Linked DNA regions of Nothobranchius furzeri. The protein of the gene in region 1 purifies or fractionates together with the protein of each later gene. This does not show direct contact. Links are inferred from orthologs where the notes say so. Each region holds a gene or a part of one and is shown in the gene's direction. Other genes may lie near its edges.

Region 1 (3,820 bases):
GGAGCGACCCAGAAGGTTTTCTGGTACCCCTAGGAAGCCACGGTATCTTTTGGTTTCAGTGCCAACTAGTAATGTTTGGTATAACCGGTATTATTTTGGTCTATGATGTAGAATTTGTACTACCGGCCAACCGGCTGCGCTTGCTGATGAGGAGCGTGACAGTTTAGGGCTTCATCCGCTTTTGCATTACCGGCACGGATCAGCTGATCTGAGCGCAACTGAACAAAAGTGAAAGAAATCGGGTAAACCTCCATTATTGTGATATTATGGACATTAACGCAGTTATTCAAACTCCTGAAATAAAACTAAATGTTATTTGCTTTTTACGTTTTTCACTTTAGTTCTGATAATTTAGAATTTATTGTTTTCATCACATTTAGTTTTTATTTATTTTAAAATGTCCATCTTTATTCATTTATTGATATTTTTTGTTGCATTGTTTGGAAAAATAACCTCAACATAAAATCTTATAATACAAATTTATACAGATTTATTCTATCTGGATCTTTTGTTCTGCATTTCATTTGGTATGCGAGGTTGTTCAAAACCATTTTTACATGAATAAACAAAAGAAAAGGATATGCGTCGTTACCGCACGTGCTCCAGAACTGATCGTGGTTTTGGCCATATCGCCCATTGCTAGTGCTAACTCGACATGACTATTTATCACCTTCCTGTGTTTGACTCGTCTTCGCTTGTCATCCAGAATCTTCTGGTGCTGATCCATAACTGGCAACAGGCATGAAACCCTGGAACGGCGGTGATGTTTGGGCTGTAATAACCAAACAGCACCATGCTGTTTTTACCCTGTCGGAGCAAGGCCGTGCCCATTAATGATTAAACATTTCCGTTGGCACTCCCAACTGCGAGTTCTCCCACAGACGGGGAAGAGAGGCCTGTGATTTTCATCGCAGGTATACCTCAGCCATGACAGACAAAATGAGGAAACACATCTAGAAAATCACATTTGGATTTTTACAGAATTTATTTGCATATTTTGGTGTGAAATAAGTATTTGGTCAATAACGGAAGTCCAGCCCAATACTCTGTGTCATACCTTTAGGTGGCGATGTGCTTTTCTGGGTTTTTTTTTTCATGTCGTGTCACGGTTGAGGTCTACCTCTGATGGAAGTACAGGCCTCTCATCTTTAAGTGGGACTACTTGCACAGTTGGAAGCTGACTGAATACTATGTGCCTGTCTGTATTTTATCAACCTGCGAATAAGACTCTTGGATTCCATGAAATCCTGCCTCCTGCCTGTGTGGAAAACCTGGATACAACAGGTCCTGGGTCAGTGCATCTTTGGTCAGAAAACCATAAATGGCTTAGCCCAACGCTGACTCCAGATCAGAACCGGAACAAAGTCCAGACAGATCCTCTAATAACCCTTGCCAACCTTTTAGGCTGTTCTAGGAACTCACCTGGTGATGGTGGATCAGTCCCGGCCCAACACTTCCTGCTGTTCACCAACAAACTGGATCCACATGTAAAACGCTGAGCATCAGTCAGACCTTTCAGGCTATTCGGTTCCGCCTGAACAGAGACCCATCCTGTCAGTCAGCTGTAGATTAGGTTCTGTTGGAAGTTCTGACTTCAGGTCACTGTCCCTTAGAACCATTGGGTTCTGATTGGATTCAGTTTGTTGTCTGGTTTTTATTGGAGGTGAACCTGCCTGGTCCTGATCCATGTTTAGTGTTTATTATTTAGGCTCCTCCCCCTTCCCCAGTCCATTGAGACTTGTGTTTTGAGATCAACGCTGATCAACTCCAGTTCTGACCATAAATGTTTTGGCCTCCATTATTGAAGCTGATGCTCTGACCCGGATAGTTTAATGGTCCAAATACAGAACCGGTTTATGACTTCCAGGTTCTGTTGGATCCAGACTGGAGCTGAGGCGGCGCTGATCCGTAAGACCCCAGACTAATTTGTGTGTTCCATCTGTCCAGTCAGTCCCGTCAGAACGCGCAGCACAGCGAGCCGTCCCACCCATCCATCCCCAAGGAGTTTCAGCTGGACCTGGACATGATCGAGACGGACCAGAACCGAGTGTGTGAGCTACCGGACCTGGTCCAGCACAAGCTGGACGAGCTGCTGGAGCCCTTCATGATCCCAAAGCCTAAGTGAGCACCATCGACATACATATATGGACAATGGGTTTCCATAGGCTCCAATAACACGTTTTTGTACTAAAATGGGAGGTGGCCACCACCGCCATTTTGACCGTGTCACAGGTTCCGTCAAGCCCAGACAATTCCATAAAAGGGAAGAGAGGTGGAGCTGAGGGTGGGGCTGTAAGGCTGGGATCAACTGATGACACCCGGTCGAACTAGCTACAAGCTAACCCAAAGCTAACGCGGAGGTGGGAGCTAAGCTAACGGAGGTAGCAACCTAGCTACAACCGGAGTTAACTGTGCACAACACCAGAGCTTCTGAGTCGGAGATACGCCGGGCTGACCGCTGGGTAAAACCGGGTGGAAAACATCAGTCTCCCGAGAGCTCCACAAGCCAATAGTTGGAACCCAGCTCCACCAACATGTTATATTTCAACCCATTTTCTAAAGTGCAGCATTATGTTAAATACACTGGGTTTTACCCTATTACATTAAAATTTCATGGTTAAACAGTACATGTTAAAATCTAAGCTCAGCTCGGCAGTGACCTAAAATACATAAATATAATTTTACTTACAGAAAAAAATGAAGTGGAGACTCCTTGGACGCTCTATTAGTGCAATTAATGCCACAGCAAGTCATTTTGTTCAACAATTGCACAAATAATTTCCAAAACAGAATACACACACACAGACACTCTACTGAGGCCTTTCCACGAAGCTAGCTCTGTGGTCACGTGGGTCTGATGCTCATTAATTATACAGAATTTTAGGCTTTTAATACACTTAAACAGAAGAGTGAGAAAAAAAATTCACCCCCCTCAGAGTTGTCATGAGTATAAACTAGATCATTTAGACCAAAAACATGTTTTGGTACCAGGCTGTAAACATGTTTATTTCTGCTGTGAAATTGGTATTTTTAACATGGGAGTCTATGAGGATTTGCTCGCTTCTGACACCAGCCCCTAGTGGATGAGGGTGGAACTGCAATTTTTGGTACCTCCGGGTTGAGACCAATTTTAGAGCCGCATTGTGGGGGCTTGGTGAGCACACACACGCACACGCATTCACACACACGCGTGCGCACTCACACTCGCATGCTCTCACTTACGTACGCACGTGCACACACACGCACTCTCTCATGCACACACGTGCGCATGCTCACACACACGCACGTCTTCCTTTCTGTCTTAGTGAGGCTCATCCAGTGACTTCGTAACCATAACCAATGCTGATCTTTTTCTAACCTAAACAAAAACTTCATTCACACCAAACCTATAAACCAACCGGTAAGCTTTTAAGAAAGCGAGGACCAGAAAAATGACCTCGCTGTTGGTTCAAACCTCATGATGGTCCTCAGTCAGTGCTTCAACACACACACGCACACACCTGCTGATTTCTGCTCGTCTCTGGTTCTAAGGATACGGCCCATCTCGCCCCACTTTGATGAGCTCCACAACAGCACCGCCTCCACCATCAACTTTGTCATCTCCCAGGTGGCGAGCAGCGACATCGGTACCAGCATCCAGGCGCTGGCGCAGGTACGACACCTGAAGGGTGATTGATGAGATCAAACGTGTCTGTTCACTGAAGTGAACTCTGGACTCAGAGCGGGTTGGTTCTGATGGTCTTGGTGTCCTCGTACTCAGATCTGCTGGTGACCTTTGACCTTAGCTCGTTGGGGTTTAGGTGGTGGTGATGAATGTGCT
Region 2 (4,510 bases), on another chromosome or scaffold:
CATCTTCCCTAATGTGTTTGTGGCCCTGTGGATTTTTCTAACTCTACCAGTTACAAATTGTAAAGGAGAACGATCATTTTCACTAATGGCAAGAATAAAAAATGAACTGAGAACAACACAAACTCAACAGCACCTCACTGTCACTGATGGCTATTGAATCTCAGCTTGTCAGGAATCTGGACTTTGATGACATTGTAAATGAATTTACTAATAGAAAGGCCAGAAAGCAGTTTTTTCTGAAGGCAAGAGGAGACCAACAAGAGGAGACAGGAGTCAAGAGGAGGAAGGAGACAGGAGATGAGAGGAGGGAAGAAACAGGAGGCAAGAGGAGGAAACAGGAGACAAGAGGAGGAAAGAGACAGGAGACAAGAGGAGGAAGGAAACAGGAGACAAGAGGAGGAAGGAGACAGGAGACGAGGAGGAAAGAGACAGGAGTCAAGAGGAGGAAGGAGACAGGAGATGAGAGGAGGGAAGAAACAGGAGGCAAGAGGAGGAAACAGGAGACAAAAGGAGGAAAGAGACAGGAGACAAGAGGAGGAAGGAAACAGGAGACAAGAGGAGGAAGGAGACAGGAGACGAGGAGGAAGGAAACAGGAGACAAACAAAAAACATGCAGATATTTCATCTTTGCAAACTTTTCAATAACTGTACAATCTTTTAAATAATCCTGCATTATTTTCTGTTGTAGTGTGACAGTGGGATCTGTTTTACAGCAGACTCACTCGCCCCCACTGTCCCACAGATTGACAACATTTTTGTTATTACAGACAGAAGAGAAGACAGGAACGCTGTGAGGAAGAGAGAGACAGAAAAAGAGGAGAAAAGAGAGGACAGAGGAAGAAAGACATATGAGTGAGGTACAACAGGAACATCATCAGGTATGAGTGTTTGTGATTAGGTTATAAAACTATTTTGACCTGGAGGTAAATGCTTTTGTATCAACAAGAGTAAGCGATTTTTAATATTGACAATGTTATGACATGTCTAAAAAGTGCTAATGGGTGACAGTAATGTTGGGGGAGGCCCGGTGGGGGCGGGGCGGGGTCCTAAGCACATTGTGCCCAGGGGACCCTGCAATGATAATCCGGCCCTGGGTAGAACTCAGTGAAGATAAAACATGCTGGAACAGTTATGTGTGCTGTGATGAGGACGGCAATGTTACCAAAACAAGCTGCATCACAAATCTGGTAAGGTAATTTGTCAGTGAAAGTGACAAAGACCTGTTAGACTGGCTTAAATGAGTATCATTGGAACTAAAATATATATATTTGAGAAAAAAGTCTGCTCATAAGCGACTTGGCCCCGTTCCACCTCGAAGGTAAATGCAAAACTTCAAGACTGTACGGCTGCTCCAAGACACTACCTTTGATCGGGACGAGAACCCCCTTATTTCATTTTATTATATATTTCTAATAAATACAAAGACAAACTTTTGAATGTATGAATATTTAAACTTGAAGGTTTCCTCTTGTTTAAATCGCACATTTATGTGTAATTACATTGTTTCTCTGGAGGAATGTGGTGTCTACCGTCTGTTTTCAGTGACCCTCCAACCCAGCTCACGTGATTGTAGGTGCGCGAGCAAATAGGTGTTGGTTACGTGCTCGCTCTCGATATTGAACGCAGTGACGTAGTTGTCCGCCGCCTGTTGGTCTTTCACAGTTGGTGACGAGTAGCGAATACGAAAATGGCCTCGACCCTTCCCGTAGACTCTAATATCCAGAGAAGATGACGGCGATAAGCTCGTTAAGTCGTTTAAACTCTAAACTGTCTTCTTGGAACACGTAGGAAAAGGAAAAGGAAGGGGCAAAAAGAGAGCCCCGGCCAAGAAAACGCTCCAAAGCACCGAATATTTCCGTCAGGCTGAGGATTCACCATGGAGGATATCAACTCTAATATCAACGCGGACTTGGAGGTGCGGAAGCTCCAGGACTTGGTGAAAAAACTCGAGCAGCAAAACGAACAGCTTCGGAGTCGGTCCACGTCGTTGCCTTCGTCCGGTGGACTGTCCGGGAACCACAGACCTCACAGCGCCGGCTACGACTCGTCCCTGTCAGCCAGTCTGGCCGGCTTCCCTGGGGTGGGGTTCGGCGGAACGGGCGGCTACGGGGGTCTGCTGGAGAACAGCCGCTGTTCGAGACCCAGGCTGTCTTATGACGGCATCAGCTTCATGAGGGCGTATGACTGCGAGGGGGCTTCTGCTGCCACCGCGGTGTCGATCATGAACTCACTTTACCCAGACAACGCCGGGGAGTTGACGGCTGAAGGGGAAACCTCTATCCTGGATGAAGTGGACATCTTAGATCTTGAAGACATGGATTGTCTGAACGAAGACGAGGACAGCTGGTGAGTGATGGGCTTGTTCTGGGAGGAAACTTGCCTGTTAGTGTCTCCAGGGCCAGATGTCAGCTGCTCCACACATTACCTCCACAGCACACGCCTGGCATAAGCAGTCGTCCCACCTTTGTTTTTAATCTGAAGTCATCCCACAGAAGGAGTCCCGTTAGGGACAACTAAAGTGTGTTTTTTGGCACTTAGCATGGGCGAGGCCATCCAAAGACTGGTTTTTCACCAACCATTGTCCCACCAGTCTGCATTTTTCTAGTCCACTTGCTGTTAATGATCAGCTGTTGGGAGTCAGGACCCGGAGGTGTTGTGATGTGGCAGACAGCTCAGCTTTCCTTGGGAGGGGTGGCAAGAAACCGGGCTTGTTTTCCTGCCCAGCAGCCATGTGGGAGAGTAGTCATGGTTTTCATTCCTCTGAATTCCCTTTAGCCCAGCAGTTGGCACACAGCTACAAGTGTTCTGCAGCACCGAGAGGGAAATGGTACTGAAGCAGGACGGTCATTAGGCTGGAATAGAAGCTCTGGCTGTGACATTAGGATCACTGCAAGCATTGGATTTGCAGAACAAATTGCCTTTATTTAAAGAAAGTGGGTCACATCAGGGTATGTTTTGGACTAAGATTCACCAACATGTTCAGCTTGTTATCACAAATAATCCCACTTTTCCATTCTTGAATTTCTCCCAGTGCATTGTGTTTATGTCAACTGGATTTCAAAATAACGATCCTTTTAAAAAAGCTTGTTTTTTCCAGGAGTGCTCATTTAAATAGTTTCTTCTGTGGTCAAGATCCTTAATGGCTATTCAATGCCCAGCCTTTGATGGAACGTATTCAAGTCAGTAATGCACCATAAGTTGTAAATATACTACAAAGTCCCTTTATTAATTATAACTAATTGGGTTTTTAATCAGTTCCCAGCTCCTGCGATCCTTGCAGCAGTGCGCCTGTGCCAGCTGCTTCTCTCCATGTCGGGATACTTTCAGATATTGCCCACTCATGCTTGGCAGAGGCCGTTTCATTTGGCCCAAGCTGTTTACTCTGCCTTTTGCATCAGATATGTGGGATTACCTCGTAGTGCCTTGATGTCGCCAGCTTCTGTCACAGACTCCCATAATCCCATGAATTAGCGAGGCTGGATTTAAAATGCACCCTGGCGCTCGTCGGTGGATGTTTGAGAGCCTTTTAACTTGTGACTGACTGTTAATGTGTTGGAAAACAAAGAAAATGTGTTCTCATGATGTCAGACTTGTATTTCCCTGCACGAGCTTTGCTTTCCCCGCAGCGTCTCCGCTTTCATCATGAAAGGCTTCCTCCTCGGCTTCCTCGGTGCTGACCAATGCTGACTCAGATTTCTCCTCTCAGTAGAAAGTCATCGTGTCTCCTCTCAGAAGCATCACCAAATATTTGCTTTACTTCTGTAACACACGGCATCAGTCCGTCCTGACGGCTCGTAGCCCTGCTTTGCTCTTTTTTGACCCCTTCGTCACTCAGTGGGTTTGGCACTTGAACTAACCGGACCTGACTAAGCATTAAAGTCAGTATTGACGTTTCTCCACTTGTACTCATTTTTTTCATTAATGTTTATTTTTTTAAATGCCGGCCTCTAGGTTTAAAATACGACTACCCTCTAGTTCTGTATGCTTTATTAAAACCAGTCTCAACCTGTCAGGGTTAGTTGGCATTAAAATAAATAAAATCAGTTGATTTTGATTATTTTAATTCTATTTTTTTACTGGAAGCGATTCTATTTAATGTGTCTTTAAAATTTGGTGAACATTTTTATTGTGTGAACTGGTGCCTTGAAAATGAACCAAACAGAACCAAAAACTGTGATCTGCTTCAAGTAATTGTTCGATTTCTTGCAGGTTATATGAAGCGAAACTCAACAGTCCCTTGCAAAAAGCCTTGAGTCCCATCGTATGGTGCCGCCAAACTCTGGACCATCCCAGTCCTGAGATCGAATCAGCCAAGCGCTCTCTCATCCACAGACTGGACCTCACCCTGTCAGGTAAACAGAGTTATCAATGTTTAATTAGCAGCATCATTAGCAGGAGTTGGTAGCATTTTAATAAGCTTGGGAGGCATTCATGTAGCAGAATTAGATCATTTAAATGGATACAGTTGGCCTTTTTATCTTCTACTTTCTCTGGGATTCTTGGTGCTTGA

What was found.
Region 2: the proteins of ckap5 (region 1) and slain2 purify together in Homo sapiens (affinity purification with mass spectrometry; 4 studies listed by BioGRID and IntAct, counting the BioPlex papers as one, with this or other methods). This does not show direct contact. The link is inferred for Nothobranchius furzeri from reciprocal best matches to the Homo sapiens genes CKAP5 and SLAIN2.

What each region holds. Positions count from the first base shown.
Region 1 is NC_091744.1:80,669,344-80,673,163, forward strand, and holds part of ckap5 (cytoskeleton-associated protein 5), read left to right. Parts: intron 1-1,947; coding exon 1,948-2,121; intron 2,122-3,531; coding exon 3,532-3,652; intron 3,653-3,820. UniProt on the Homo sapiens protein: Binds to the plus end of microtubules and regulates microtubule dynamics and microtubule organization. Acts as a processive microtubule polymerase. Promotes cytoplasmic microtubule nucleation and elongation. Plays a major role in organizing spindle poles.
Region 2 is NC_091748.1:39,298,645-39,303,154, forward strand, and holds the start of slain2 (SLAIN motif-containing protein 2), read left to right. Parts: upstream 1-1,671; 5' UTR 1,672-1,876; coding exon 1,877-2,346; intron 2,347-4,209; coding exon 4,210-4,352; intron 4,353-4,510.